3 linked regions of the Arabidopsis thaliana genome follow. The protein of the gene in region 3 interacts with the protein of the main gene of each other region in a pairwise test. Each region holds a gene or a part of one and is shown on either strand. Other genes may lie near its edges. The genes, in order: PEX6, PEX10 and APG8A.

The links.
Region 1: the proteins of APG8A (region 3) and PEX6 interact in a protein complementation assay, tested with the Arabidopsis thaliana proteins (one study listed by BioGRID).
Region 2: the proteins of APG8A (region 3) and PEX10 interact in a protein complementation assay, tested with the Arabidopsis thaliana proteins (one study listed by BioGRID).

What each region holds. Positions count from the first base shown.
Region 1 is NC_003070.9:684,710-697,234, forward strand, and holds PEX6 (peroxin 6), read right to left. Parts: upstream 7,952-12,525; 5' UTR 7,745-7,951; coding exon 7,466-7,744; intron 7,370-7,465; coding exon 6,734-7,369; intron 6,656-6,733; coding exon 6,412-6,655; intron 6,190-6,411; coding exon 6,048-6,189; intron 5,871-6,047; coding exon 5,690-5,870; intron 5,465-5,689; coding exon 5,276-5,464; intron 5,105-5,275; coding exon 4,823-5,104; intron 4,701-4,822; coding exon 4,542-4,700; intron 4,450-4,541; coding exon 4,327-4,449; intron 4,242-4,326; coding exon 3,970-4,241; intron 3,894-3,969; coding exon 3,749-3,893; intron 3,656-3,748; coding exon 3,572-3,655; intron 3,438-3,571; coding exon 3,348-3,437; 3' UTR 3,086-3,347; downstream 1-3,085. Other genes in the region: AT1G02990 (uncharacterized protein), read right to left, coding at 1-68, 155-1,256, 1,347-1,715, 1,796-1,896, 1,970-2,042, 2,135-2,287; AT1G03010 (Phototropic-responsive NPH3 family protein), read left to right, coding at 8,771-8,862, 9,408-9,474, 9,571-10,767, 10,838-11,084, 11,178-11,479. UniProt on the Arabidopsis thaliana protein: Component of the PEX1-PEX6 AAA ATPase complex, a protein dislocase complex that mediates the ATP-dependent extraction of the PEX5 receptor from peroxisomal membranes, an essential step for PEX5 recycling.
Region 2 is NC_003071.7:11,216,939-11,227,953, forward strand, and holds PEX10 (peroxin 10), read right to left. Parts: upstream 3,570-11,015; 5' UTR 3,478-3,569; coding exon 3,297-3,477; intron 3,199-3,296; coding exon 3,167-3,198; exon of another isoform or gene 3,092-3,166; coding exon 3,002-3,091; intron 2,920-3,001; coding exon 2,825-2,919; intron 2,746-2,824; coding exon 2,556-2,745; intron 2,462-2,555; coding exon 2,392-2,461; intron 2,322-2,391; coding exon 2,243-2,321; intron 2,154-2,242; coding exon 2,020-2,153; intron 1,769-2,019; coding exon 1,674-1,768; coding exon of another isoform or gene 1,659-1,673; exon of another isoform or gene 1,593-1,658; coding exon of another isoform or gene 1,581-1,592; exon of another isoform or gene 1,255-1,580; coding exon 1,178-1,254; intron 932-1,177; coding exon 829-931; 3' UTR 501-828; downstream 1-500. Other genes in the region: AT2G26340 (uncharacterized protein), read left to right, coding at 8-53; AT2G26360 (Mitochondrial substrate carrier family protein), read right to left, coding at 4,665-4,988, 5,063-5,296, 5,383-5,461, 5,543-5,661, 5,745-5,850, 5,921-6,222; AT2G26370 (MD-2-related lipid recognition domain-containing protein), read left to right, coding at 7,698-7,797, 8,466-8,585, 8,672-8,847, 8,989-9,114; AT2G26380 (Leucine-rich repeat (LRR) family protein), read right to left, coding at 9,677-11,015. UniProt on the Arabidopsis thaliana protein: E3 ubiquitin-protein ligase component of a retrotranslocation channel required for peroxisome organization by mediating export of the PEX5 receptor from peroxisomes to the cytosol, thereby promoting PEX5 recycling.
Region 3 is NC_003075.7:11,653,848-11,663,058, reverse strand, and holds APG8A (Ubiquitin-like superfamily protein), read right to left. Parts: upstream 7,447-9,211; 5' UTR 7,192-7,446; coding exon 7,110-7,191; intron 6,827-7,109; coding exon 6,771-6,826; intron 6,693-6,770; coding exon 6,640-6,692; intron 6,561-6,639; coding exon 6,442-6,560; intron 6,354-6,441; coding exon 6,250-6,353; 3' UTR 6,025-6,249; downstream 1-6,024. Other genes in the region: AT4G22000 (tyrosine sulfotransferase-like protein), read left to right, coding at 2,857-3,249; APR3 (APS reductase 3), read left to right, coding at 4,086-4,164, 4,307-4,441, 4,528-4,663, 4,749-5,775; AT4G21970 (senescence regulator (Protein of unknown function, DUF584)), read right to left, coding at 8,953-9,211. UniProt on the Arabidopsis thaliana protein: Ubiquitin-like modifier involved in autophagosomes formation. May mediate the delivery of the autophagosomes to the vacuole via the microtubule cytoskeleton.

The sequences.
Region 1 (12,525 bases), on a different chromosome or scaffold from region 3:
AGTCTTTGGTTTCTTAGAAACCCCAGAAAGTTCCCTTTCAGATTCCATTCCCATATTCTCCATTCCTCCTACATGCGTATTCATCAAGCAGATCAGATAATTTGAACAGAAAGAAAATATTATAAGGAAAATCAATATCTTTCACAAATAATACCTTCAAGAGAATGCTTATTTTTCACTTCCCGTCTAACACTCTGCTTGGTGGTGTGCCTATCTTCATTCAAGTCACTCGGCTTAATAAGGTGTTTCAAATCAGGTTCACATACCAAATTTAGATGATCACAAGCCTCTTCATCATTTTTAACACTGTTGAAACTCTCGCCCAATGCATTTTCTTCTGAAAGCTTTTCTTTCTCAGCTTTAAGTACGGGACTAATTTGTTTTTCTTCTTTTGATTCTTTCGAATCACCAAAGAATCCCTTACACATGTGTTCGGATTCTTCAATATCTTCCTGCAATTTATCTGGTACATTCTTCTTAATTATATTTACAGCAGCGTCCTTGCCTCTCTGACTATTCATGGTAACAATGGAGCTTGAACCTTTTTGTGACCTCTGTACTTTAGGCAGTTTTGACTTTAAAATTTGCTCTTCATTCCTTGTCTCACTCTGAGTACCCTTAACCACAGAAGAATAATCTACATGTTCAATACTTGGAGCTTTCTCCCGCTTGGGATTACTTTCCAATGAGTTTAGAGGTTCACCTTTTATCAGGTACACGTCTTTTCTTACGTTAATACTTTCAGTTTCCTTAACACTTCGATCTGAAAATGCCACTACATTATCTTCTAGTTCCGGCTTTGAACCCATCAAAGCTGCATCTTTGTTCGTTCCTCTTAATATACTCTCCACATTAGAATCTGATACGTTATCAATCTCTTTTGCCGGGTGGATATATGAAGGTGATAGACAGGATAAAAGTGGAAGCTTCATAGTCTTGGAAACAAGCTCCTCACAGGACTCTTTGTCAGCCTCTTTTTCAGTATTGGATACGGTATGATTTCTGTCAAGCTTGTTTGACGGTGGCCTATACTTTACCCTATCCCTTAACTTTTCCTTCTTCCCAATAGGAAACTTACCAGCACGCTTTTGTGAATCAGAAACAACTAAACCATCGGGTGTACTTTTTGCATCCGTCTTGTTTGTAGAACCATATCCAGCATCTTTCAAAATCTTTTCTTTCGATCCCAACTGAATAAGATCATCAGAGAGAGGTGATAACAGCTGATCTTTATGCAAAGGGAATGACACCATAGCCTACACACACAAAGGTATATGTCAAACTCATATTCATCATTGTTCAATCTTTAAGGAGAAGGAAGAAACAGAAAAAGAAAACAAAATCACCATAAGAATTTTAGTGGGCGAATCACAAATCCCATTCAGTAAATCTTGTTCAACTTCTGAGAGGCAATTCACCCGCGATGCTGATGGTAGCATATTGAGGCCTTCTTTAGTAAAGGTAGAAACGTTTTTGAGTGACGAGAGGTCACTTGAACCAACTTTTATACGAAACCTGAGAGTCTTATGATTTGATGGAGCAGAAGAAGAAGTTTTTGCGTCAGACATGTGTTTGCTATCAGGTGTCCCTATATGACTTGATTTGACAAACTTGTTTAATTTGACCAAAACATCAGAAGCAGGAGGTTTTGAAGCGGATCCGGATATTGATAGTTGAGGTACTAGTGATGAAGCTGAGCAATTAGATCGACCACCCTATAAACAGAAAATGACATTCACTATAAAAGCTTAAATTCAAGCTCTAGTCGAAGTTTGAGTTGTTTAATGATCTTTACCAATTGGTTTTGTTGAACTTCTGGTGAAGTCTTAGGACGTGAACAAACAGGAGATCTCTGATACATAGACAAAAAGGAACCATAGCCACCAAACTTTGCACCTATAAACATTCATTGAATTCATAAATGAACATAAGAGAAAGCAACAAAGTTTAAATATACAAGAAAACTTACCCAAATTTTCAGCAGAAACTCCACCTTCAAAATCTTTCTGAAAATGTCCCAAGACGTTTTCGAGTTTCTCATCCTTAAGAAAAGGAAAAAAGAAAGGATTCTATCTAAGTAGTAGTTGTAGAAGAAGAAAAGGAAAACATAGTTAAGAGGTCAGAAGAAGCTTACAATGTAAGAGAGAGCAACATCTGGGTCAACGCAAGAAACATAAGAATGTGTACTTTCTTCCTCAAAGTCACAATCTTGCATGATTTCTTCACCTAATCCACCAAACCCTAACCCTAATTCGCTTCTAGCATCGCTACTACTCACCAAAATCATCTAAAACCCAAACCTATATATATCATATCAATCGAAGAAGCTAAAATCTTCCAAATTTCCTCAGAAAAAAACTTAGATCGATCGAGAGAATAAGCAAAACTCTTAAATACCCATTTACATAGAGAGACTTGAACAAAGCAGCCCGATAAAATCAATCAGCTGAATTCGTTGGATAATGCGATTCAGAATCCAGAAAGCGAATAACGCCCAGATTTGGGAGAGCTCACGTGAAGAGCTTTGAAGAGAGAAAGCTTTAAAAAAAAACTTGAAGATCGAAACGACAGAGGAGGTTCCTCACGTTGCAAATTCAAAATTCCGTTTTTTGATTCCTCATTCTCTGTTTTCTCGAACAAACGAAAAAGAGGAAAAAAAATTAACTCAACAAAAATAATTTCCTAAAAAAAAAAATTGATTTCGGACCAGCTCGCCCAAACAAAGCAAATCCCACGTGACAAGTGATGTCATAGTGGTCAAGTTCGTCATTTCAGTCTTCAAAGATTTGTCTTTTTTTTGCAAGTAAAATCTCCTTAATCATAAAAATTTTTACTGTAATTTAAAAAACTTTCGCCATATGGATTCTATGCTTCACGTAATTAATGGAATTTAGTCACGTGTGGAAAACAAAAACGCTATTTTTGGAATGCCAATTGAAATAATTGTTTGGAGAAAATATTCTGAAATTACTAACAACACCATAATCAAACAGATAATATAAAACACAAACCTAATATAACAAACTGATGATTTTATTTCCTACCCAAACCAAAAACAGAATTCTTTTATGAACCGTTGTGGAAATTTTTTTAAGAAAACCTTTTACCATTGAATAATCTGCTTCACTTGTGTGTTATATTATTACATGGAACTATGGAAGCGAAGAATCACTTGTGCGTAACCAATCAAAGGTAATTCAAACCAAGAAAATTATTTTACATTATTGATTCTTTAATTTTACTATCAATTGACTAACCAAATCAACAGAACTGTTCAGAGAAAATAGTCTGGGAAAAAAATATGAAATGTCTTCATTATAAGCTAATTTTTATGTACTGAGAGGGGTTTAGCTCGAACGGCCTTGAAATTGATCTCGAAGCATCTCATACTTCTTAAGCTCAGTTATGGAGAGTGATGGCGAGAGCTGATCCATTGCCTACAAAGAAGACAAAGTGGGAAACTATTATAACTCTCGACTGATAAAACCGAACCATAACAAATTAACATTTCTACTCAACCATGAAAATGGCAACTCTTTTTGATGAGTAGATGAAGGAAAAGAGTTTTAACCTTTATAAAATCCACATACTCTACAACGACTGAATCGGGATCATCTTCTTCTGTAGGCATATCCCCTGAATCCGATTTTGACACCTGCATTTGCCAAGTATGCAGATACAAAGCGATTTCAATAAAAGCTTTTACAGAGACTTATATAGTCTTAAATTTCAACCCTATCCCTCTCACCTTTCGCTTAGCTGCCTGAAACCAAGCATCAGCACACAAGGCGTACATATCAGCGCCGGTGAATGTAGAGGGACACTTCTTTGCTACTGAATAAAGAGATACATCTTCGCTTAACTTAAATTTCCGAGTCAGTGCTTTAAGTACCCTGTCAAAAACAAGAATCAGGAAGCTTCTAATTTTTTTTGTCTTTGGACATGCTTTTGATTGTTTAAATGCCTAACCTTTCCCTGTAAGACGCATCAGCGTTGACTCCAACATATAGAAGTTTGTCGAATCTGCCAGGCCGTAAAAGAGCTGGATCAATCAAGTCAGGTCTGTTGCTTGCTCCTATAATAAACAGATCCTGGGAAGAGTCGCTGAGTCCATCGATCTCTGCAAGCATCTGAGATACCACTCGATCCATGACTCCTCCAGAATCACCAGAAGCACCTCGAGCTGGAGCAAGAGAATCAAGCTCATCAAAGAAGATCACACAAGGTCGCGCTGACCTTGCCTGCAATTGAAGAAAACACACTAGTTTAAGAATCAGAACCAAAGACTCAATATGCTTCTCCTAGGGAAGAAGAAATATAACTTACCTTTTCAAATATATCTCGAACATTTTTCTCTGACTCTCCAATATACATGTTGATTAATTCTGGACCCTTTACACTGAGGAAATTTAAGGAGCACTCTGTCGCCACAGCTTTTGCCAGTAAAGTCTGTAAATTTAATTCAAAAACTCAAAAATATAACTGCCAAAAAACAGACTATTAAGAGATGCTAAAAGTGAAAGAAAAAATGGCTTACTTACTTTCCCTGTTCCTGGAGGGCCATAGAGAAGTACACCAGAACGTTTACGCAATCCGGACGAAAATAAATCTTTATGCAGGAGAGGTAGTTGAACTGTGTCCAATATCGATGTCTTCACATCCTCAAGCCCACCAACATCATCCCATTTCACATTTGGAACCTACGAATACAAATAAACCTTTAAGTTATGTGCATCTCCAGTAACAAAAAAATATGCAAACTTGTCTCATAAATAGACAAACAAACGAGAAAACACCACAGCAAGAAAACTGTGAATGTTACCTTAGGAGCACCAAGGGCTGATGCATTTCTCTTCTTTGATCGATCCAAAGCTTTGGTAAAGTCTTCCTTAGCTGTTAATTTCTCAGTGCTGTTATCTATTTGGCTTGCCTGGTGTATATCAACTCCATGAAGATCATCTGACAGAGAGTTAATTTTCTTGGTCTCGGACTCTTGACTGATGTATAAGTTGGCACCAGCATCAGCTACAAGAGCTTGCAAGTCCCGGGGAAGGAAGCCAGAAGTCTGTCCCACCAATCCTTTCATAAATTCATCTGAGCTAATCTACAATGTGAAAATATCTATCCATCAAGCCTGAAGTTGTTAACTTTAGTTTGAAAATGGAAGAATAAATGGATCTAGTATCTCTAAGATTTCAATGAGAGGTAATTTAATTTAGTTCAAATTATATCATAAAACAAATACTTGAAGTTTTGGAGCATTGTACTCACATACATTAAGGAATTGAGAAACGCCTTGGAGGGACTGAGACAGCATTTCAGATCTCTGTTCGTCATTCAAAGAACCCATACGTATTTCATGGCTAAAGCAACGCCTGATTGTTGGAGAGATACCCTCAGTACTTTCAGCAGATGCGATTAGCAGCACTTGATGTCCCCTAAACTTTCCAACTTCATTTTCAGACTGCATTAGCACATATACAGATAAAGCATCATGGAAAAGGGTTTCGAAGAGCAATATTTTCTCTTTTCTTTACTTTATAGAGTACGAGGTCTAAAACCATCATGAGTTGTTTGAGAGCTTAGCTAAAATGGATTATGCGACAACGATTTGGAAAACGGAAAAGTGAACTTAAGTGAAACTGTGCAACGCGCAATGGAGAACCAAGGAAAGAAATGAAAATCTTACGAAATTGCTATTCGATTTTTCTTCCATGGAACTGTCCCCATTAGAAACTGGCTCAGTGAGTTCCCTAATAACCGATGCAATCTCAAAGGACACACCAACTCGGTCACCCAGTGAACCATCCTGAGAGCCCAGATTTTTAAAAACATCGAAATGGCGAAGCAAAAGTATCGTTGGTGAATACCTGTGACAATGAAAACAAGGCATTCACCAAGTTGTGGATAAAAATACTATTCCAGAAAGAAGAGCTCAATATTTACAAAAATGTAAGTAATTTTGCACTTCATTAAAACACGGCCATTTACTGAATGCAGTTCATAATGAATACATGAAAGAAAAGAAAAAAAGTATACCATTTTACCTTCGTGCCATATTAAAAGTCTGGGCCAAAGCAGTAGATGTTTTCCTCTCAGATGATGCTAATAAACTGTGGCAGCTAAATTCAACTACATGCAGCCCCAACCTCCTAGCAACATATTTAACAACAGTTCTCTTCCCACACCCTTAAACAAGCAATAGATACAAAAAGCTATTAGCACGTGATTCAGTTATATGCATAGAGCATAAAGGTCGAATTATGACTTCTCCCAAATTACCATAATCTGTAAACACAGAAACATAGTCTCTTACTAGTCTTTCCTTAACATTGTTTCCAGAAATAGTTTAACCCTTAAGAACATATATGAAAGTGAAGTATTTTCTTGATGAAACCGAAGCAAATGTACCTGGTATACCATGCAGTAAAACAGCAACCCTGAGTTTTGAGGCGAGTGCTGATGGGCAGAGAGGTGGTGAAAGCACCGATGCCAAAATATTTACTGTCTCCTCCTGCAATGGCATAGGAACCTTTGATCTATACACCAGTAAATCTGGTGGAAGACCAGAAGATACAGTTCCTCCAAGGACAAGGGCGGTTTGGGAGTGATTCACTCGAAGAAACCTCTCATTAGAAGGTTCCATCGCAATAACCTGAGCAGATGAACTAAGTTTTCAGTAAGCTCTGGCCAAAATGAGCATTTTTCTGGCAAAAATGAAAACCAATATTACCTTAAAATATATATAGTCGTCGCTTTCGGAGCACAACCTTTGACTACATGGATTACAAATGCTTGAACCACAATTCCAGTCAATGTAAATGCGAAATATATCGCCTCTTGATAGCTGTCTATCAGTTCCAAAATACTTCTGTAATGCAGAATCTATTAACCCTTGTCGCTCTTCAGCTTCAAATGACGAATTGACTTTCAGGGATGGGATGGTACCACACTCTGGGATTTTAACAAAAGAAACTCTCAGATGTGATGCATAGCCTGGAACTTGGGACACGGGTTCCAAATCCAAACCAATCTTCGACCCATCTTCTGCAGATTTTCCGATAAACTCCTCATCACACTTAGCTTCAAAATACTTCTCTAAGACCCCGTTCCCTCGATGTACGAGGGATTTCAGGCAAGATATGTGCAAGCTAAGATTAAAAGCTAACATTGGGGACAAGTAAGCAACCTCTTGATCTAATAACTGCTGGCCCATCAAATCATAAGTGGGAAAGACAAGCATCGTATGAAGAGAGTCCGAAACAGGTACTTGAGTGAGAGATGCATCTTCCAGCGTCGTCTTGGGAGGATCAAGTACAACAACTTGCGCAACCCTTTGAATGCCTATCTCAATGTTCTTGACAACAACCTTGCATTTTAAAAACTCAATTGTTAACATCAAAAGCAACAAAATTATCCAGAAAAGATCCAGCTTTGTTGACTGAACAAGATGAGAAGGACATACCAAAGAACCAGAGTTGATAGATAGTCTCTTAAGCAATTGAGTGGAGAGTCCAACCAATGCAGAGTCATCTAAAGAATCCAATTTTGCATCGGAAACATTTTCTCCGTCCTTCCGCCACCGGAGAATGCCCGCAGACAACCTAGCGTTCCCTCGTAACAAGTCACCGTCTTTATTCAGAACTCGGTCGCCGTCGGCAGAGCTGGGTTGTGACGAATTGAGCACTGAACGGAGAGTACTTCTTGTGGATGATAGAACCAGAGGATTCCGTCTCTCCACCATTGCAACGGAATCAAATCGAATTCCCAATTACTCAAAACTCAAAAGAGTCAGAAAAAAAGTATAAAAACAAAAACCCTAATTTTCCATCAGAAGATTCAAGTTCCGTTGAAGAAAATTCACAGTACGCGAACCGATGAAGACTGAAGAGGATCAGATGGTACTGGCCCCACTTAAGGATTTTTTCGTATTTATATTATTATATTTTCTGATTATTGTTTTTTTGTACTATTTGTTCCTCCTAATCAAAGTTTTACTATAATCTGTTTAGTAAAATTAACCTGGAATCATAATTAGCATAAATATTTTAAAAAAACAAATTATAGGTTTCGAGGGGCTCGAGAATTTTCGATCAGCCTAACATCATTACATAAACAGCCTTAAAGCTAAAATATAAATCTCAATCGGTGTAATCACTACTGCTTTTCTATTTTTCTAACCAAAGCAAGTAAAGGCCCTAATTTTGTTTGGACCACTAACAAATATACATTTTCAAAAACTAAAAGCATGGAGTGATCTTAAAGCTTGGTCTCACCAAAATTATTCACTTGACACTTAATATATTCTTTATGTATCGTTATATTTAGAAAACTTTGCATTAGATATATATTCCATATAAATTTTAGTGGACAAAGCAGTATGTAGAAAAATTAAATGATTGATCATCTTAAACTTTTGTTAAATTGAAACGAAAATTGAAAAACAAGAGAGTAGACATAATGATGATAGAAGAAACCTCACTTATCCCATAATAATGGATGGAAATGCCTCAAAGGATACTAGCTAGCAACTTAATGTAGGTACATTGCATGTATTGTTTGTTATTCCTTAAGTTAATTTTATCTGTGATAATAATGATCTCAGCTTTACACGTACTTAGCAGATTAATTTTAACCAAATCTTTTTTCTCTACCTTTTTACATCCATTAACTACGTACATTCACTGCCATTACAACCGCAAGAGCTCTTCTTCTTCTTCTTCTTCTTCTTCTTCTTCTCCTTCTTCTTCTGCTACGAGAATAGAGAGAGATGGGACTTGTTACAGTCGGAGAATTGAAGCCAGCTTTCACAGGAAAGAGAGGGTTTCGTCTGAATTCAACCATCAGACATGCCTCTGAATGGTAATATATACTCTGTTTCAAAAACCAGTTTTGTAACTATTATCACCAAATGAAATCCAAATTTAGTAACAACGATTCTTGTTTTTTTTTTTGCATTCACATCTTTGTTTTTGATAAAACTGTCAGAAAAAGACTAAAAAATTTGTTCTTTCTGAAGAATTATAGCAATCTTGTATGTGATGTGAATCTGTAGCCAAAAGTCATTTCTTGTTAAAGTCTTACTGTTCATCGAAACCAATAATTTCTCCATCTTATTTTGTATATATGTGGAACATATCCGTACATTAACACTTCATCTGGTTCTAGTTCTGTCTTCATTTGAAAAAGCTTGATGTAGACATAATCTTTTACATGTCCCCTGTGAATCTTTAAATGTCTCTAAAACCAGGAATAAATAACACTATTTTTGGCGATAAATTCACTGTTTCGTTATCCTAGAATCTTAGCGTCGGAGTCATGGAATTCAAGTACACAAAAGATCTTTTGATTCATAATTCAGAAATCCTTTCGCTTAATCTTGATGGTTTTTTTATCTGTTTTCGCAGGCCGATATCCGATGTCTCTAGTGATCTGACAGTTCAAGTTGGATCTTCGAGTTTCTGTCTTCATAAGGTAAAAAGCAAATTTAAGAACATTAAAACAGAGTATCCTCTGTTCTTGAGTTGTATTGAAAGTTTTCAACTGTTACTTGTTGTTTTGATTTCTCAGTTTCCTCTTGTGTCTCGGAGTGGAAAAATCCGAAAGCTTCTCGCGGATCCAAAAATATCGAATGTTTGTCTCTCAAATGCTCCTGGAGGATCAGAGGCTTTTGAGCTCGCAGCTAAGTTCTGTTATGGAATCAACATTGAAATCAACCTTCTTAATATAGCTAAGCTCCGTTGTGCATCTCATTATCTAGAGATGACAGAGGATTTCTCAGAGGAGAATCTCGCTTCCAAAACAGAACATTTCTTGAAAGAGACAATCTTCCCCAGTATTTTGAATTCCATCATCGTTCTACATCATTGCGAAACCTTAATCCCAGTCTCTGAAGATCTCAACTTGGTTAATCGGTTAATCATAGCTGTTGCCAACAATGCCTGCAAAGAACAGCTAACATCGGGTCTTTTAAAGCTCGATTATTCGTTCTCGGGTACAAATATCGAACCACAAACTCCATTAGACTGGTGGGGGAAGTCACTAGCTGTTCTGAACCTCGATTTCTTTCAGAGGGTTATCTCTGCGGTTAAGTCTAAAGGGTTAATACAAGACGTGATCAGCAAGATTCTGATAAGCTACACGAATAAGTCTCTTCAAGGGCTCATTGTTCGCGATCCGAAACTGGAGAAAGAAAGGGTTCTTGATTCAGAAGGTAAGAAGAAACAGCGATTGATTGTGGAAACAATTGTGAGGTTACTTCCTACACAAGGAAGAAGAAGCTCTGTTCCAATGGCGTTTCTTTCAAGTCTTCTCAAAATGGTCATCGCAACATCGTCATCTGCTTCTACAGGATCATGTAGATCAGATCTAGAACGAAGAATCGGTCTGCAATTAGACCAAGCCATCCTCGAAGATGTCTTGATTCCGATAAATCTCAATGGAACAAACAACACCATGTACGACATCGATTCAATCTTGAGAATCTTCTCTATATTCTTGAACCTCGATGAAGACGACGAAGAAGAAGAACATCATCATCTTCAATTTAGAGATGAAACAGAGATGATCTACGATTTTGACAGCCCCGGGTCTCCAAAACAGAGCTCTATCTTGAAAGTATCGAAGCTAATGGATAACTATCTAGCTGAGATAGCTATGGATCCGAATCTCACAACCTCAAAGTTCATAGCTTTAGCAGAACTCTTACCAGATCATGCTCGTATCATCAGTGATGGACTCTATCGAGCCGTTGACATTTACCTCAAAGTAAGAAAAATCATCAATCTCATATTCTAGAAACTGTCAAAACTCATTAAAAGTTTTTATTTTTTGACAGGTTCATCCGAATATAAAGGATTCAGAGCGTTATCGTCTCTGTAAGACGATAGACTCACAAAAACTATCACAAGAAGCTTGTAGCCACGCAGCTCAAAACGAGAGATTACCTGTGCAAATGGCCGTACAAGTGTTGTACTTTGAGCAGATCAGACTCAGAAACGCAATGAGCAGTAGCATAGGTCCTACTCAGTTTCTATTCAACAGTAACTGTCATCAGTTTCCTCAACGGTCAGGAAGTGGAGCAGGTAAACTCAGCATTAAGCAAACCTATGTCAAACCTCTTCTAGTAACATCATCTGATGTTGTCTGAAACACTTTTTGTTTGTTTGGATCACAAGGAAGTGGAGCAATATCTCCTAGAGATAACTATGCGTCAGTGAGGAGAGAAAACAGAGAGCTAAAGCTTGAGGTTGCGAGGATGAGGATGAGATTAACTGATCTAGAGAAAGATCATATCTCGATTAAACAAGAACTCGTGAAATCTAATCCAGGGACTAAGCTTTTCAAGTCATTTGCTAAAAAGATAAGCAAACTCAATTCTCTTTTCAGTTTCAGTAGTCTTAAACCTTCCTTGAGTGGCAAGGCAAGTTCTGAAAGCCGTTTCTTGTTTCAGAGAAAAAGACGACACTCTGTTTCTTGATCTTTAAAGAAAGAATAGAATCTTCACCTTTTTTATTCACTTTGTGTAGTGAATGGGTTTTTATCGTTGGAGGGTTTGATTTGTGATTGAGTGTGCATGTATAGCTCTATACAGTCGTGTTTGTGAATGTGAGCGATGATGTGTTTTGTCGGTCTTTTGCTAAAGACTTGTATAAAAGTTGCATGTTCCATTTCTCTAGAACTTTGATACGACACGGTTTCAATTTGGCGTCCTACAACGACACCGTTTTGACCTCTTCTATTTTTTTCTTCGTTAATCATACGCACTAGATTTTAACCCGCGGTACACCGCGGAGACAATTCATTTTTTAAAATTAATATATATATAAAACTTTGTAAATTATATCTAATTATATAATATTTTTATTTTATAGTTTACAATTGTTACTAAGTAACGTCCTGCCAAACCCGTCCCGCTAAATCCGTCCACCAAAAAAACTATTTATTTTAATGTTGATCTTATTTATAATATGTTTATGAATCATTGTCAAAATATTTTAGTCGTTCCGGGACGTTGTATCCACACATTTTTCGTCAATTGGTTAATATATGTTCATTTTTAAAATTTCGAATCACAAAATATGACCAACTTTTTTTTGAGATTTTTTAAAACTCTATATATTATATAATGATGTTAAATATTTTTGATATATTAAAATTTTTATAAATTTAAATATTAATAATGTTTTATGAAGTTTAAATATATAAATAATAATATTTTAAAAAATAATATTTAAAAAAAAATATTTTTTGCCTTTTAGGTAATGATATAATAACTCTAAAAGCAAAAATTTAGAAGATTTAAATCTTTAATTAAATATTTTTATTCCTAAATAATTAATGTAGTAACATGACATTGTAAATAAGTTCAAATACATGATCTATTTATTTAAACAAAAAACGTTTAGTAAGAACAATATTTATTTAAACAAAAAACTTTGTTTTAAAATATTGTTAACAAAATAAGTTTATGCTAATTTTAAGGGATTGATGTGAAGTTTGTTTGGATTAAATTTGATTGATAAT
Region 2 (11,015 bases), on a different chromosome or scaffold from region 3:
GATTAAGGTGTCGTTCGTTTGATCAGTTGACTGATGCATCTAGATGCAGATGATAACTGATGTTCGTTTGAACACAATATAACAGAATAGTTTGATACATCAGTTGGCTGAGTTTATAAAACTCATTCAAAAAAATTAAAATATTTAGCTGACTTTGATCGGTGCATCTAGATGCATCAGCTGCAGTCAAAAATGGTAAATCTCTAAAATACTCCTTTAAAATTTGAAGAATTACACTAAAATAAATATATGTCCTTTTTAGTCATTTGGTACATTATGCATTCAGATGCAGATGCACATTGTTAAAAAACAATTCAAACGAACACATCTGCATTCAAATGATTCATCCAGATGCACTATCAACTTCAGAAACGAACATCATCCAAATGATGCATCTGAATGGATCTTCTGGATGGATCACCCAGAGGCACTACCTAACTGATTAAACGAACAACACCTAACATTTTAAAATGGTATTGTGCCTAATATGAGATTTTCTTGTCTTGTAATAGATCTCCAATTGAGATTATTATATGTAATATAGAATGTGAAAGACCACCTAACATCTCCAACTCTTTTTAATGAAATGTAAAACAACAAACCTCTGTGGTTTCTGCACTAAATATCATAGAGAAAAAGGTAGGCATGGGATCGAGAATGATGTCAGAAATATATTTATTCTGTCTTCTCTCATAACTTGTTGATCTTACTCAAAAAGTCTGAAGCCGAAGCAGATTCCATTCCTGTAGCAGATGCACTGTCCTTAGGTGTCACTGTCTTAGCTGCTTTGCCTTTCTGCAGTGCCTGTCTTTGTTGATCCCATTGTGCCTAAAAATCAGAATGATACAAACAAACCAAACTTGAATGGGTATTGGGCGTTCGACAAAGAGGGCATTCTTGCTTCTCGTTGCACCATTCCATAATGCAGCTCCTGCACATGACAACATGACTTTCAAAATGAGCACAATGTTCCGGTGTCAACTTTTGGATCTTAGGTTTTGTAGTTCGAGTAAATGTTCGATACAAAGTTCATCTTATCAAAAGCAGTTTCAACCAATGGACATCAAGATATTGAAATTCTCTGGATTCTGAAACTTATCAAGGTTTGTAGGTGTTAACTCGTTCCAGATCAGGCCCAGGACAAAATAAGCAATTACGGTAGAGGAAGGTTTATTACCAACAAAACACATGACCACAAGGAGTGGCCGTTGGGTGCTGACGGGTGCTTAAGCAGAGAGTGCATTTCCCTACTGCCTGCAATCGAAGTACATAGCAAGGTAAACACCTAACATAACAAGTGGTAACATATTGATTTCATCAAAACGAGAGAAAAATAAACCCCTCTGGAGTTTTTTTAAATTTAGAATAGTCTCAAAATAGGATTAACATATAACCTTGTCTCGCTAGAAACTATATGTAGAGCGGGATCAGTCGAGTGGCCATCTACTCTTATCAGATACTCATACCAACAGAGTAAACTATCATTTTGGTTTTCTTAATCACACTTATACAACATAACCTTTGCGTAAGAGCATAATACATTTTGCTCAGAGTTATGTGCCTCTCTTCCAAGTATATTATTACCTATTGTCCTTTCCCAATAATGATCACTATTCAAGATATTAGCCATTACAAAGTAACAGAAGTTTCTAACTTATTTATAAATATTTTACCTCCGTTGAAGTTGAATCGGAGGTAGACCAGTTTCCCTTTTCAGCTTCCGAAGTTATCAAATTCCCCTCTTCATTTAAAACAGGTAAACCTCTCCCTGCAAGAACAATACCAAAACTATATTACTGTAATGTGAAATAGGGTGATGCATAACAAGCAGAATATTTCAGCCTATGTTATCTTCTCTCATGTATCTTTCTAACAAACTTTTACCATGATGCCAATTTAGACCATAGTTTATTGAAACTATAGTACTGACAATCTAACATATATATCCTCCACAAATATCCGTAATGTTGGGAAATTCTAGATTATTAACATTCATAATCAAGGACATGAGAGCCAGACCTCCTGAAGTTTGATAAGATCCTATAGAAGCCTGCTGAATGGAGCTAGTGATAGATGACAAATTACTCCGACGCAAGCCCTCAGCAGCAAGGATGCACAATTGGATTAGAAGGAAAACCCCAAGAATTTGGTATCTGCTCAACAAGACTTAAGGGAGTTCAGTTACTCTGTGATAGTAAAAGTCAAGAGTTGCAAGTGTAAAAGAAGACAAAAAAATCATTACCTAGGTCTCTGATTCAGTTGCTTTCCTATGAAAACATAACGAACCCCGGATGCACGTTTCGATATATGATAATAAAAACCTGAAAAGAAACAAAGGTTACTAGTTCAGAACATGCTCTACATGAGTTAAATATTTCTCACAAAATTCACCTTCAAAGTAGAAGAGCATCAGATTGGCACGCAAAACCAGTTGTAAGACTTCGCGGGCAACAGGAAGAACCTAAAAGGCACAAAACCTTGTATAAAACAACATTTGCTACGCAGAAAACAAGTGAACGAACCATGGAAAATTAAACGTGAGGGGTATACATTACCACAGGCCATCGCTGAATAGCTCGGTGCCACGATCTCATAAGTCTATCGTTTAACCTAGATACTACAGAAGTTGAAGTTTCAACTTGAGATGAAGATGGAAGATCTATCATTCTTGGTGAGTGGATATGACTATCACCAAAAAACTCATCAGACTCATCAAAGGTGACTGCTTGCGTAGCAGCTCGAGTGCTGTAGACAATTATATCAATATCAGCGGACAAGATTCAAATTTTTCTTTGTAAAACAACAATAAGAAATGCGACGAAACCTAATTCTCTCTGCGATATATGGAACTGCGGTCTGGTACAATATGAACAAAGCACGTCTAGCTGGTGTAGGAGAGAGTCCATAAGGCCCTGCAACCTATATTATATCATTCTACATCAGAAGGTAAAATGGTTTTGTAGAAGCACACTTAAGGAAGATTGTATAAAGTAACAAAAACCTGTATAATGTCACAATATTCCTCTCCTAAAGTTTGTTGCCCTGAACCTGTCGTAAGAACATAGTAAAGCATCTGTCCAAGTAGCTTCATCTATCCAAAAACAATAAAAACAAATAATCAAAAATCTCATGGAAACTCAGACAAATATAATTTAGTGTATATTACCTCCTTCTGGTAAGCAAGAGCGATTCTTGTACCTAAGAGTGATAAAAATTAGTTATTAATTGGACAATAACGATGAAGCAATTAAAGTAGACAGTTGTTGTTGTTTGGTTTGGTGTCGGAAAAATTGTACCGAAAAGGTGTCGGAAGGCATCGCGGCAAGCTTCGTGGATGAAAGAAGCGTATTGATCGTCTTTCTCAGCAGCTCTCATAATCTCCGGCTGAGCTGCTAACGGGAATCGTCTGATTCCGCCGTGAAACCCGCTCGAACCGGGTTCATCCTGACCCGGACCCGAATCCCCATTAAGCCTCATCGTTTCTTTTTTTTCGTGGATCGATGAACTTGCCGAATGATGTTTTTTATTCGGCCTTTGATATTTTTTTTTAATTCAAAGGAAAAATAAATATTTGCAAATGTATCGATGCCATTTATATATGAGATCAATAATATTTTATTAATTATAATCTTTTTAATTATTTTTATGATCAAATATTTGTCTATATTAAGCAGTATTTTGTAATAGTCAATCGATTCGGGTGAGCTGATTAGTTTTTTAGAATACATGATGTTAAGTAAATTATGTTAAAAATAAATCCGAGCAAAGTGTTTCCATAATTAAATTATTAAAGGAGATATTAACCTTGACGAAAACTTTCTCTCTTCTCTCTCAAAAACTTTTGAGAGAGAGAGTTTGTTTTTTTGGTAAAGTCCGATCGTGATCTCATATGCATGTTCTATCCTCGCCGTCCGGTTTATCCGGCTCCTGTCCAGCATCGACTAGCTTCTAAAGTAGTGTTGGCTGGCTTATGTCTGGCGATTTGCCGTCTTGTTTACGGTGTCTTCGGCCAGTTTTGGGTTTGTTAAGTTTTTTTGTTTCAATAATCTCATTAGATCTGAGTTGGTGATGATGTTTTAGGTGTTGTGTCACTTAAAGAATGGATTTCTCCGACTTGTTTCTTTTGAGCTTTTGGTTTGCAGAAATCTTTCCAGAGACATAAGGAAAGAAGAATCTTTCGAAGCATATTATGATTGCCTTAAAGCTGTTAGTTTCTTTTTGGAGTTTCGATTAGCTTAGCAACGGTGACAAACAAAGGATTCAACGACCGATTATATTTCGGCGATAATCTTCTCACCGAAATCGATGCTCAACGGCGAAGGTTGATGTCGGAAATCTTTCGATTACTCATCCAGCATGTGTCGTGGTTGTATCCAGTTGCTGACACGTGGGCTTAGGTGGAGTACAAACAAATTTTCTTATGCAGTATGCGGTTATCCGATAGGCTCTTGTTGGGCCTCAAATATTTCTGTAAACTTTTCGTGGGGCTTTTAGTGTAGCCCGTGTATGATCGGGTTACGTTTAATACAATACTACACTTGAGAAAAAAAAAAAGAAGTAAATTATGTTATTTTTGTAGAATATATTTTTTTTTCTCAAGATTTAGAATACATAAACATGAAATAAATTATTATAACACAAAATGTTGGTCTAGTTTTCCAATCTTACTCACTATGCACTGATTGATTCAGAGGTGTGATCATAGCCTTTTGAAGAAGTTCATAGCCAGCTAAGTTCAAGGCTCCGAGAGGAGCAGTCCAGAAAAACCTTGGAACAGCTCCTTTGTAGAAAGCAAGAGGACCCTCATGTGTGAGAATTGAATAAGCAGCCATCAACATCGACAATTCCACGCCTTGTGGAGCCGTCATCATTCTTGTTTTAATCACATCGAATGGCGTTGTTAAAACTGCAGTGAAACCACCGGACAAGGCTCCAACCGCGATGGCTTCCCACGGCTCCAACTCTCTTCCTAATTGTCTCTCCACCACCTGTGAAACTCAATCGCAACCACGTCTTATTAATTACACAAAGACATGTCATTGTTCTGTTCTATCATGATTACCTTCTTTGATTGGTTGTAAAGTCCCATGCCAGCAACGTAGAAGGGAACCTCACGTAGAAGGGTAACACCGGTCCCACGAAAGAGTCCTTTGAGCCCTTCTTGATGCCAAGTCGAAACTGTAGCTTCCACTATGTTATCAAACTGGTTGGCTTGTAACCGTTGTTTCAACACTTCACACGGTATTCGCAACGTTGTCCCCAATACCGTACCAATAAAAGACGCGATTGACTGAACCTAAAATAATCAAGAAGCAAAAAAATTCAAAGAACGAAACATTATGTAGCAATAAAGTTGGCAATGAGCTTTTTACAATTACTAACTTGAATATCAAGAAGAGTAGGAGCAACGAGCGGTAACGCAAGTTTACTTGCTTCATATATACTTGTTCGTAAACCATGACTGAAAAATGTTTAAACAAGAGATGAAATCATGATAATGCTTATAACCAATAACCACAAGGCAAAGCATAAGAGATGAAACCTAGCAAATTGACCAACAACAGCCGGAATCGAGCCTTTGTATAAACCTCGAGCACCAATCTCTGGAATCTTTGACAATATTTCGAGAAACGACAATGTAGTTGATGCTTGAACTTGTGTCTTAATGATCCAAGACAAATGTAAGTAATCAGAACAATCTCATAAACACAAAAGAAGAACCTGAAATGAAATTACCATTATACCTTGACAGTATCCACTGGATGCATCAAAAAAGCAGAGAAAGCACATGAGATTCCTCCAGCTAATGCAGATTTAAGAAGATGACCAACATCTAATCCAACTCTTGTCCTAACAAAACATGTAGTTTAGACACAAATGTTTTAAAGAAAAACAGTATCTACAAGGTTCTTGTCCTCACCCAGTATCAAAGTTCTTGCCTTTAGCAACAGCTTCATTGATCAATGGAGCAATTTCATTGGATCTTGAAGTAAAATTTCCAACTTTTGCAAAATTTAAGCTAACTATAAAGCTACACGCATCTGAATTCGATTTTCTACGGAAACAAGAGTCAAGCTTTTGAGAATTTAGAAACAACAAATCATTGAGAATAGAGAGAAGGAGAGATTCAGGTGATACATGTTTCCTCTTCGGAGCTTTATTCACCATTGTTGATTTCAGTGGATCTGTGGATAAACCTTGAAAACTAACTCTGTTCTTCATCCGTCATTAGAGGAAAACAGAAGAGTGATTTAAGTGAGATTAGTCAACGTTTGATCCAAATAGTGGTTTTGATTATCGAATTAAGCCATTTTTGTTAGTCTTTGTTTAAAGTATTAGTAATTTAGTATACAACAACAACGCATATGAGGTGTTCGACGAAATGACTGTGTTAAAACAAATTGAGATGTGGGACTGAAACAAAACTAGAGGTAACTATTTTAACCAAAGATGTCAAAATGAGTAACCTTACCCAAACCCACATGGATTTGAGATTTTAATAGACGAGTTTGACCCAACCCATGTATTTATATAAGTTGAATTTATATACTCAAATCCACAACCATAAAATTTATTGGTTTAATTGGTTATATTGATATCTAGATAAAAATAAAAGAAAAATTTATAAGTAATAAAAATCTAAAAAACATATTATAATAAAACCAAGAAAAAATTTCAGTAACAAATTAAAAAATATCTAGATATTAAAAAAAAAAAACATCTTAAAATCCTAAAGTCCTAAAACCACAAATCCAAAAAAACACAAAATCATATATATATATATCATAAAACATGTTATTCATGCCTACTATTTTTATAGTCTATTAGATTAAAATATTTTGCTTAATTAGTGGACCGAATCAAAGTAATATCCAGATATATTTATATGCTTCGTTAAAAGCGAGATTTTAGAATATGACTTTAGATGTCATTTGTATTTTTAACCAAAATATAAATAAAATGTCATTGGTATTGCCAACTATGACCAAATTCTTCAATTCACAGGCATGTGTGAGTTCATGTCGAAGAAATTAAAGATTCACCTATTTAACCGGTGGTGCATCTCAAAGTGGGGAAACAAAAACCTCTAATAATGAAAGTATTTGCCAGGTTGTGTTTAGCTTCGACCATGTGGTTCGGGTATGGTTTATTTTATTTTATTACTATTTCATCTTATCTCAAAAATAAGATTTGTATGCCATGTTGCGTTAACGTTGACCATTTAGTTCCCCAGTATATGGTTTAAGCGCAATGTATATCTATGCATACATTTTTGTTTTTTCGGTTTGTGATCGGTTTTAAATTTTGTATGATGCTAATAACAGTTGTGTTTTGGAAATCACGCCGAACCAACAGACATGGTCGCAGTCAAACAACTCCATCTTTGGGATTTTTTTTTATCTAAAAGAATTCACGTCCTTGTATATAAAAGGTGGTAATATTTGAAATATTGAGATTTCAGGCAACACTCATTTTTTTAAGATTCTCACGTATAAATTAGGATTATATCATATAGGAATAAGTATAACGTGGAAGATTATTATATAGGGATGAATCATCCACTAGTTAAGCAGAATATTATATTATATAGACTATATAAAATACTAGGCATGAATGAATTTAAGCATACGTATTACAGACTTGTTTGTCAAAACAAAACAGGCATTAATCTTTTTTATCTTTCGAAGATATAACCCATGGCGATATCTCACGCCCAACCTGTTCTGCTTCTCCTATCATCACTCTATTTCTTATCTGCTTTTGGCGCCGGCGCATACAATTTTGAAAACTGCAAAAGTAAGTATCGTTTTTGTTAAGTCTTATATTGTTATATAGAACATCAATTCTTGTTACTTGATAAGTCAATTCAATGAAAAGAATATGCCTGAATTTCATAGATTGTGGTTTGCTCCTATCTCTGTTTTTTGTTTTACCAAATAAATCTTGAACCGGAACTCACATTAGTCGTCAATTCCATAAAACAGAAATAGAGTATTTTGCTACTGTGAAAACGTTTATATAGAAAGAACAGATCAATGAAACTATGAAAGTACTCCCATCTATAAAATAACCCAATAATTGTGAAGTATTCACCGAAGACTTTTTTCTTTTTTTTTTCCTTCAGTGTGGTTTTCGAGAGCCGTGGTGTATAAGTCAAGAACTGAGTATTATAACTAAAATATTGCAGGTCCAGAGTTCCTCCAATATTCAAAGATAGATCAAACAATTTGAAATCTGATCGAAATTTAAAATAGATTTATCTTTTGTTAATCCTACAAATAAATAAATAAAGAAACACTTACCCCTATGACCCTATCATTTGACATACCAAATTTCCAAATAAAGAAATTTAGGATTTATTTTTGTAAGAAATTAGGATGTAGATCCAAGTTTTTTTTTTACCTGCCATGACTTACTGATAACTTCTACAATTGTTAACATGCTCTAAATCGGTGCGACTAAAGATGCACCTATTGACTACAATTACGGTATTACGAACGTCACACGTGTGGAGATCTCTCCATACCCTGTTGGGCCTTACGACGAGCCAACCATTACCATATCCGGCTTTACAAGTGATGATAGTACGTAATATTTTCTATTCTTTTAATTGTTTTCATTTATAGTTTCCAATATCTTATCTTGTAAGAAAATATATTTGTGTTTACAGGCTACATCATCTATAGAGCAACTATACATGTGTTGTATAAATATGAAAATGTGAATAGCACTATAATAAATTACGACCTCAGTGATGTGATGGGTGAGGATCCATGCTCTATTGAACCTGGCGAAAAATTTGTGTTAACTCTTTCCAAAGTTCCTGGTTTGCAGTCACTCCCTCATGTAAGTATTTTTTATTTTAATTTTTGGACAAACGGTTTCACTTTGATAAATGTATTTTAAAACCGAACAATCTAAAAACCACAATAGTATATTTACTTGGTTTGCCTGACGGTTTTTTTTTTCTTTCTTTAAACTAATTAGAAGGATAAGTCCAAGATTGTCATATCCCTTGTTGATGAATATGGTGATGACGCTGAAGTGCCACTGCTAAAAATGTGTGTTGAGTTCGATAACCCTGCTCCAACTACAACATCGGTCTCTGCTTGATTAAATCCAATTGGCTTATGGAAATATGTTTTCAATTCTTCATATGACACTCCCGTATTACTTGCATTTTTTTTTCCCTTTTCGTGTTGTTCAACAAATAAAAGAAATATTGAATTTATAGTTTTATACGACTCTCTCGTTAATTACTAGCATCCTTTTTATATTTCAGTAACTATATAGAAAAAAATTCTAACGCATTTGCTAAAAATAAGCTACAACAACAAATCTCTAGCTATGTTTTTATCGCAAATAAGCTACAACAACATAATAAGCTACATTTGCACATGAATAAACGATGCACGAATCTGTCTCACCTTGTTTTATACGTATAGAGCGCACTTGTTTTCTAGAAACTTTTCCATTATAATTGATTAGTTCAGAAAAAAATTAGAAGATTTGAAGGTGTTGTGTGGCGATATTCATATACCAAAATCAGTAACACAAAATCAGTAAATAAAGGAACTTAAAGAGAATACGAAAATTAAACAAAGACAAAAGAAGAATATGGAACTTGTGACACATGAAGTTCAAAAACAATATAACATGACGATGAATGAATCCATTAACCTTTACAATGACTTAGCGGGGAGCCGCATAGACAGTCGTTGCCGGCAAACACACTTTCTGGAAACTTTGTCACCGGAAGTTTCCCACAAAGATGGTTTTGACTCAAGTTAAGTGTCTTTAATCCGGCCACCCTCGCCGGCACTTTCCCGAACACTAAGTTCCTTGATAGATCAAGCGTCTCGAGCGTCGTCGAGAAACTTAGCTTCCTCAAATCGAATCGGAGTTTGTTCCCCGACATTCGAAACTCCCGTAGTTGCTCTGCTCCCTTCAAGAACCTCAGTGGACTCCCTGAGATCTCGTTGTCCGAAAGATCAATGGAAACGTAGAGATCAGTTTGCCTTGTTTTCCAATCGTCTAAGCTCATCTTGATTCCACATTTAGCCAACTTCAAAGAGCCGAGGATCGACGCTGAGGTCACCCATTCCGGGATTGTTTCCATGTGAAACTTGTTGTACGACAGATCTAGAGTCAAGATGTAATTCTTCACGTTCAAAACAGGGAATGGATTGGTTAGAAGATTGTGAGAGAGATTGATATTAGCAATTTTAGTCAGCTTGGCCAAACTCTTCGGCACGGCTCCAGAGAAACGGTTCTTGGAGAGATCCAGTGTGTCGAGCGCCACGAATCTTGATAAATAGCTCGGTATCGACCCCGAGAGATTGTTCTGACCTAGCTCAAGGAACGCAAGAACCGGCGCGAGCGATGCAATCGACGGAGGGAGCTTCCCGGAGAATCTGTTGCGTGAGAGAGTGAGGATTCGAAGGTTAGTCATTGATTTGAAAATATCCGGGATGGTTCCAGAGAGACGGTTTCCATCGAGATTAAGATTCGAAATGAGCTTGAGATTAGCAATCCCTAACGGTATTGTTCCGGTTAAGAGATTACCGCCAAGATTTAGGTAGTTTAACCGAGTTAAATTGGATATGGAACTCGGGATTGAACCGATGAACCGGTTTCCTTTAACGGTTAATGTATCTAAGCGGTTAAGCGCGCCGATGTTGGCTGGAAGAGGACCAGAGAGACGTGTATTCTCGAGGTAAACATACTTTAGATGTGGTAATCTGAATAAAAATGGTGGAAATGGTCCTGTGATGTTTTTGAGATTGATAAAGACGACCCCTTCCAAATGCTGGAGTTTGGCCAGTGACGGAGAGATTGTGCCAGAGAGAAAGATTCCGGCATCGTCGGACTCTATGCGGATAGTGAGTACGACGACACGGTTGCCGTTAGGGCAACTGACACCGTTCCAAGAGCAGCAATCAGTACCTTTTTTCCAAGTGCTTAGAATACCTGAAGGATCTTTGGTTATACCCGATTTAAAAGCTAATAGACCC
Region 3 (9,211 bases):
AAAGTCAACGTCATTTTTAAATCCTTTCACACTTTAGAATATTGTTTGGGAAATTTCGTTTACATGTACCAAATTTTTTTTCAAATATTCAAGTAAACATAATGATATTTTTATTTATCCTAACGAAATACATTTTTCTTATTAGCTCTAGCTATTAGATTGAGCAAGCTAGTATTTAGTTATTTACCGATTCGGTGTAACACCTTGGATTGCAAACTATGTCATAATAGTTGGTTATATACAATAGCAAAACAAATATTAAATTTATCATAAGATTCTCTGTCTTTTTACTCTTTTTAGATCTCACTCATCAAAAAGTTTACAATTAATTTTATTTAAAGATGTTTGGGCCTTCTTTGGGTCAAGAGTACATCGACCATTGCTCCGTATTGTCCGCAAGTGAAGGTGTTTTGAAACGCGGCGTGTGAGCTGTCAGGAGGTAAGAATCACATGCTTCTGTTAAATCTTGAATTGAATAGTTGGACCGCCGGATTAAATATTGAGCTGAAGTCAATGCTATTGGACGGTGGAGATCACAGATCGGAGTTATGAAGGTGAGGGTGTACCGTGGAAATGAAGCGGATGATACGAGTTTCTGCGTTTTCACGTGCTTGAGTACCATTCTGCACCATTAGCAAAGATTGAAGAAAAAGACAAACAAGAAAAAGTCTGTTATTTGAAGTGTGATATTATATATCATAATGGAAATAACCAAAACTCATGTATGTGTGAATGTATAATGTGTCATGTTTTGTAATCATAGGTACATTCGACAAAAGCAAGTCTGGTTATGTCATCAATGAGTTCCGATAATTTCGGTAGAAGGAAGTCAGTCCTTTGAAAAGTTTGTGATTTATGGGTTTTAAGCTTAATTAGTTGTAATGGTGATTATTGGTTTTTTCTTTAAGAATATGACACCAACCGAAACATTTTGTTAAAAAATAATTATAATAATACTAACAATTTTTGAAATTATTTTAGTTTCTTTTTTTCACAACTCATGAATGAACATTTATCCAACATTTTGGACTAACTAGGAATATTATTGTATATTCGTTACGTGTAGGAAAGTTCCTCATTCCTCAATGAATATTAATAATATACATATTGCCATGCACCGCTTTAGTTATTACGACGGAATCGACGGGATCTTCGTTACTAAATGCAATTTTAGATCTCAATCAATGCTATCTACTTACGTGTTTCTTTTCCAACATCATCATTCTAACATGATTTGATGAATCCGTCATATGACACCAAAAACACATGTAATGATCATCAACTGCTTAATTTCTAAGGATGTTAGCGTTTGTTTGGGTGAGTTGGCAACTTTTCCTATGGATAAATCGTGATTTGTCGGAATAAAAAAGTGGCAAAACATGTAAAAGTTATTCTAGAATTTGCTATTTGGGGGGCTTAGCACTTAGCAATGTAGTAGTAATGTATAAGAATGAACGAAACATTCTTTGGAATGGGCCAATTGATTACCTAATATATAAGGCCACAATTCACAAAGAGGCCATGAAGGCCAGTAATACTCTTTTTTTGTCTCTCTCCACCTATTCCTAATAATGTATCCTTTGGTTCTGTAGTAGCCCAAATGCAATACAAACTTACTTATGGATGAAATAAGTTATCAGATTTACAGTGATTTACTGTATTAGTGATCTATTAAAAATTAACCATTTATCGTGACCCGTCTAGAAAAAAGAAAGTTGGTTATTTTTCAATTTCGTTTAAGATAATACTTTAGACTATGCAATCACAATACTATATACACAATGGACGGTCCTATTTGTAATTAAGCTTATTAATTTATATATATTTACATTTTTTCAAAAACTCAAATATGTAATTTAATGATTTTACGCTATATCTAGCATAGTATATATAAGTTATTTCAGTAAAAGTTTAAGGCGTGGTAAATACATTGCATTTGTATATTAAAAAATCAAAATCAAAATTAAGCAAAAAAAATTTTGAAGATGGAATTGTATAAATTAAATATAAATACTACACTAGTTTAGAATTGTATAGTGAGAATGTGAGAGTAACCTGTACTATTTATACTTTTTTTGTCTTCTGAATTTTATTTGGAAATATACATGATTTTTAAAATATTTATACTAAGTAATTACAAATAATTTGGGTGAGAAAACAAAAAAGAAATAGGAAAAGGGTTTACTAACGCCAAAAAACCCAACCCTTGTCTGCGTTCTTCATCAGCGCCGCGTTCTCAAAGTTGCTCTCACAGTCTCCGATCTCCAATTTTATGTAAGTTCTTTCTCTCATTCCGATTCCAAGTTTCGTATCGATCTCTAAGTAGATTCGTATTAAGCTATAAGAGATTGATGAACCTAGTTGCTCCCGTACTCGAGAGGCTTAGATTTGGAATCGAAATCGATTGTGATGATGTTTAGTTAACGAAACCCAGTCACTAAATCCTTGCGTTGAGCTTATCAAACCCTAATTTTAGAGGATTTAGATCCATTTGCATCACATTTCTGCGTAGTAAATCAAGAATTAGTCTCCAAAGACTCTTCTTTTAACAACATTTCAACCAATCTGCGTTTGATTTGTAAGAAATGTTGTGTCAAGTTCACTCTCACTATGATCTCTCTTTGGATTCAAAGTTTGTATCTTTTTGCTTCTATGCATCACCAAATCTCTCTTTGGATTCAAAGTTTGTATCTTTTTGCTTCTATGCATCACTATCATATAATACCTTCCTTCAATTGATCTCCTCTGCTTTTAGCTAGCAAGTTTATAGGTTTCTTAACTTATTGTGAGCTAATTGGATTACAATGAGATATTATCATCTTTAAAGAATTGTGGTTTTGGGCATATGCAGAAGTTATGGCTGGAAAAGCTGCAGAAGCTGTGGCAAAGACAGTGACAGGGTTTCAACATCCATGGAGGGCGAAACTCGATAAGTACAGAACCGAGTTGACGAAAGGTGTGTGGGGTTATTGGGAGATGGGAGCATGGAAACCGTTAGGGATAAGTGCACGAAGGAGGGCTATGCTGAGGAAAGAAGTGTTGACTAATGGAGAAGATTGGCCTTATGATCCAGAGAGGAAAGCTATGAGGACAAAGAGGAAAGGGCATAAATGTGATAGAATTTCAGCTGAGAAAAGAGAGAACACTGCGAAGCTTATGTTGAAGATGCCTCAGATGTTGCTTGATTATAAGAAGAGAAGGTGGGAAAAGAAGATGAAGGAAGAAGAGAAAGCTAAAGAAGACAAGTAATTGATTTGTTGAGATCATGATTACTATAGACTTGGTTGATGAATAAGAATAATTTAGTTTGTTGATCTTATGAAATCTTGGAAGGTTTAAGATCACAAGTTTGCTTCTGATATACTTTTGTATGATGTTTTTTTATGTTTGTTTTTAACAGAACCCAAAAGTGTTTGTGGTTAGGATCGGAATTTGTTTTTCAACCAAGACTAATTTTGACTGTAAAATATGGTTTATGAAATATCGGTTCGTGCAATTTCTAGAAGAAATGAAGAGATCGATAGGTTTTGTAGATAAATTGATAAGTTAAACTAAATGATAGAATCGTAACAAACGAAAAATAATCTCAGTGAAAGAAAATCTCAACTGTTTTTATTTAGTTAATTCTATAAATATGATCGTTTTTTCGGATTTTTAAGGAAAGAATACACGAGAAAGTATTTATCTAAAATTAATAATCAAACATATCACCATGTTTATATTTTACAAATTAGATTAATTTATTATTAGATTATTTTTGTTAGCTCTAAAATAAAATTAAGCGTGTAAAATGTTTTTGAGATAAGTGTATGTTACATTAATAGAAAAAAAAAGAATTCTTGGACCAAAGTTGACTAGTTTTCTCTGCCACACGACCAAAGTGACGCAAGCAATGATATATAGAAAAGCAAATGCCGCCACCTAAAAAAAGACGTCTAGGTTCAATGAACCTAAATTTCAGCTGCTTCTTTTATAATCCCATTTCTCTCAACAAATCTTAAGAGAACACAAAATTAGAAAAAACACAACACAAAAATAAAAAAAACTTAAGAACATTGTTTCGAGAGATTTGGTTTGGAGTGAAAATGGCACTAGCAATCAACGTTTCTTCATCTTCTTCTTCTGCGATCTCAAGCTCTAGCTTCCCTTCTTCAGATCTCAAAGGTAATTTATTTCATTTTCAATACCAAATTCGTGGAGAATCTTAGAAATGCCTTGATTGGTCATTGTGTTTTGGTTTTAAATTCGTTCAAATTCGATCAATGTCGAATCTTATTCAATTTGTTTGTTTGATTCTTCAATACAGTAACAAAAATCGGATCATTGAGGTTATTGAATCGTACCAATGTCTCTGCGGCTTCTCTGAGTTTGTCCGGGAAGAGATCCTCCGTGAAAGCTCTTAATGTGCAATCAATTACAAAGGAATCCATTGTTGCTTCTGGTAAGTTCTGGTTTGATTTTTCAATTGATCATTGGTTAATTTGATTAAGGTTTATGCTAATGATCTTGTGCTTCATTACAAAACAGAGGTTACAGAGAAGCTAGATGTGGTGGAAGTTGAAGACTTTGAGGAACTAGCAAAGAGATTAGAGAATGCTTCTCCTCTTGAGATCATGGATAAAGCTCTTGAGAAGTTTGGGAATGACATTGCTATTGCCTTTAGGTAATGAATTGAATCATGAGAATACAATAAAGGAATGTTTTTGTTTTCCTTTAGTTTGCTGATTTGTTGTTTTGTTTGGTTTCAGTGGAGCTGAAGATGTTGCTCTGATTGAGTATGCTCATTTAACTGGAAGACCTTATAGGGTATTCAGTTTGGATACAGGGAGATTGAATCCAGAAACATATAGACTCTTCGATACCGTGGAGAAACATTACGGTATTCGGATTGAGTATATGTTTCCTGATGCTGTTGAGGTTCAAGCTTTAGTTAGGAACAAGGGTTTGTTCTCTTTCTATGAAGATGGTCACCAGGAGTGTTGCCGTATTAGAAAGGTGAGACCTTTGAGGCGTGCGTTGAAGGGTTTACGTGCTTGGATCACTGGTCAGAGGAAAGATCAATCACCCGGGACAAGATCGGAGATTCCTGTTGTTCAGGTTGATCCAGTGTTTGAAGGATTAGATGGTGGAGTTGGTAGTTTGGTGAAGTGGAATCCGGTTGCTAATGTTGAAGGGAATGATGTTTGGAATTTCTTGAGGACGATGGATGTTCCTGTCAACACGCTTCACGCTGCGGGTTATGTTTCAATCGGATGTGAGCCATGCACGAGAGCGGTTTTGCCGGGTCAGCATGAGAGAGAAGGGAGATGGTGGTGGGAAGATGCTAAGGCTAAAGAGTGTGGCCTTCACAAAGGGAATATCAAGGAGAATACCAATGGAAACGCAACCGCTAATGTCAACGGGACAGCCTCAGTCGCGGATATCTTCAATAGCGAGAATGTTGTGAACTTGAGCAGGCAAGGGATTGAGAATTTGATGAAGTTAGAGAACCGGAAAGAGGCTTGGATCGTTGTGCTTTATGCACCGTGGTGCCCGTTTTGTCAGGCAATGGAAGCTTCATTCGATGAATTGGCGGATAAGCTGGGAGGAAGTGGTGTGAAGGTTGCTAAGTTTAGAGCTGATGGTGACCAGAAGGACTTTGCCAAAAAGGAGTTGCAGCTTGGAAGCTTTCCAACAATACTTGTGTTCCCAAAGAACTCTTCAAGACCAATCAAGTATCCATCAGAGAAGAGAGATGTTGATTCTTTGACATCTTTCTTGAATCTTGTTCGGTAAATCCGCAATAAAATCCGCCGACTCTACGATGACGAAGAGATCAATAATAGACCATCCAGTCTCGTTCCAGATTGCTAGAACAGATGAAGAAGGTGAAGATGAGAATCTCTATTTGGAGCTTTAGCCTTTTGTATAGCTGTGGTTAAAAATAATTACGCCAAGGTTTTGCCTTTTGTGAGTTTATTTTTACCAATTTTCAGTGTATTACTCCTTTTTTGCCTTTGTGATGGATATGAACAAGTTTGATATGAAAGTGACTCATTACTCATTAGCCCCAAAATCAATGTTATTTAAGTAAAAGCAAAAGAGGAAAGTAAGAAAAGGAGAAGTTTCTGACGATTAATAAACCCAAAGGGAAAGATATCCAAACATCCAAAGCAAAGTTAAAAGCCAGAGAAAAGAAGGAAGCAATGTACATCTTTATCTTCCTGATTTATGTATGTACATCAAAGTCATCCAAAGATCGATTTTTATTCAAGCAACGGTAAGAGATCCAAAAGTGTTCTCTCCACTGTAAGTCATGTAGAGGAACCCATCCTCATCTTTGTGTTCTTCATAGATCGCAGACATCAATGCAGCTGTTAAGAAACAAAAGTGAAACCAAAGTTAGTGGTAAAGAAAGAAACTTTGATCCTGAATGGTGTTAAAGAGTTTAAGAACTCTTACCAGTTGGAGGCAATGTGTTCTTAACAAAGACAAAAATAGCTTTCTCAGCTCCAAGCTTGATTCTTTTACGAACCACGTATACAAATTGTCCCACTGTTAGATCAGCTGGTACAAGATACCTAAAAGAAAGTGGAAGAAACATAAGTTATCAAGATTATGATATAGAAAAAGAGTAAATAAAGCAAACCCATTACTCACTTCTTCTTGTCAATGTCAGGAACATCACTTTGTCCAGCCTTCTCCACAATCACCTACATACAATCCAAGATTCTAAATTAGACTAAATTTAGTGAAAAGAAGTTAATCAACTCATGAATTTGTAAGCTTACGGGAATTCTGTCAGGGTACTTCTCTCTGATTCGAGAAGATTCACTCATCCTTGCCTCTGATTAACAAAACATAACCACAAGATTAATGACAAGTACATCATTAAACAGAGATATCTATAAAATCTCACAGCTTGGCTTAGAAACAAAAACAGAGAAACGAACAACAAAGGAAGAATCAAAAGCGTATGCAGAGATTAAATCTGATCCCAAAACCAATCAAAATTGAGTTCCAAAATCAAAACCATACACGATCTAAAGCAAGTTTTAACAGAATTCAGAAACTCAACAAAAAATCAAGTAATTGAAAATTCGATGAGAAAGGGATTTGAAGAAACAAACCGAGAGGGTTAGAGATCTTGAAGGAACTCTTAGCCATTGCGATTCGATTAGTCTCTGCGAATTTCAAGCAAGCAAAGATCATAATTAATAAACTCGATCGTCTGCTAGATCGGGGGAGAAACAAACCCAGAAAACCCTAAAAGATCTCGAATTTATTGGTGAGAAGAAACATACCCGAAGAAGAAACTGAATCCGATTTGTTGGAAATTAGGGTTCGTTGAGAAGAAATTGAGTTTGATTGAAACTGGAGAAGAAGAATCGAGAGAGAGAAGTCAATGTCAAGAGAAAGGGATTATAAAAGAAATTAATAATGGAATTTAGTTAGGGTTTTCCTAATGGTTGCCTACACGGAACTGTTTCTGGAATAAGTAAACCACTTGGAATTCGTTTATTATTATTTGTTGATTGGATTACAAGAAATCTCTTACACTTGTCTTACGTCACCACCATCTGTTTATTTCTTCACACATTTTTGTGTCGTTTTGGGCTAATTGGGCCTTTATATAGGCTTTGGTTAGCAAAAGTTTACAAAGTAACAAAAAAATTTTTTTTTTTTTTTTGTCATCAGGTGTTATTTATGACTCAAACGAGCCAATTTTGAAGAAAATTATTTACAAAAATGATATGTAGCGGTTCCGCACGAATTTTTCGTGCCAAATAATCCGCTTTGACAAAGTAACAAATTTGTTGTCGTTGTATTTTTATATAAAATTGAATTGCATTTTTGTGGCACCTCTGTACAAGATTTTTTTTTAGTTGAAACTGTAATTTTACTACAATTTTTTATTTCGAAAAAGTAAATTGTAAAAAGAAAGAATGATTATCATGAACCGTTGCTAGGGCCAAGGAAAGATGAGTAAATTTCGTTTATAGTGTGATTGGTACTATTTATATATTGAGTAGATCCAAACAAAATAAAAAATCCAACCGAACTTGACATTTTTTTTGTTTGTCGGCAATTCAAATTTAGTACGGGTGAGATAGTACCGACGTGAATAAAACTGAAAATTATCGAAACAAGTATTTTTATTTATACAACTTCATTCTTGAAAATATATCTTACCATAGTAAATTAACTAATATATTTATTATGTATATCTTGAAATGGATATTTAGCAACGAAACGAATTAATCCAAATTCAAATACAACTTTTTCAGTTGCAGATTGGTTCAAGAATACACGAAGTAAAAAATTAAATCAACACACCGAAATAGATAACAGATACATATACCCCATTCCCCTAGTAACACCATGTCTAGTTGCTATATAACATTGAAAAGTGAAAGGTAGTGAGCAATATGGAACGAGCCCCTTAACCTTGTGTCGGACCAAAAATGTTAACATTATTCGCTACATTTTTCTCTCTTGGTCGAGGCCAAAATGGTGAAGAGATCGAGAGTGCTTTCAAATTTCTCACATTCAAAGGTTCCAAAGTATATGCCATTTTGTTTTGCTAAACTATAATTTAAGCTCACTAAGCACTGCTAAAGAGTTAAAAGACCATTGAGAACTACAAACATAACATGAGAAAAATGGTATGGGCCCATGCATGGGATTGACAAGTCATCCTCATCGTCATCATACTTATCTAAAAAAATCCAAAAACCTAACAACAACAACAACAACAACAACAAAAAAAAAAAAAGAGAACTCAACCATATTGGTAGTGTCATGATTCCCTACATGGTGATAACGACAATAACATTGATATTTAATAAAAATCATGTGGATACCATAAGGTTTTAGGTTTTTTTTTCATGATAATGATATGGTATGGTGCTAAAAAGGGTTTTGTGTGAATGTGATATTGATCATCCAGCCATGCTCCATGCCATGCCAAAACTATGGTGGTGATGTTGTTGATGAAGATGTGATATTCGATTCCAAGAAACCAGTTCTTGTTAAGACAGCGTTTCTTGTTTTGCTGAGATCTCTTCCTTTGAGCGTTCTTCCGATTCCTTCGCACATAGAGAATGATGAGATCTGCGTTCTTGCAAGTCTTTTTGCTACTAACTCATGTGGAGGAACCATTGAGCCTTCATCATCATCGTCAATGGCCCATGAATGCAAGTGGCTGCTTGTGTTCTTCTTTGAATACCCA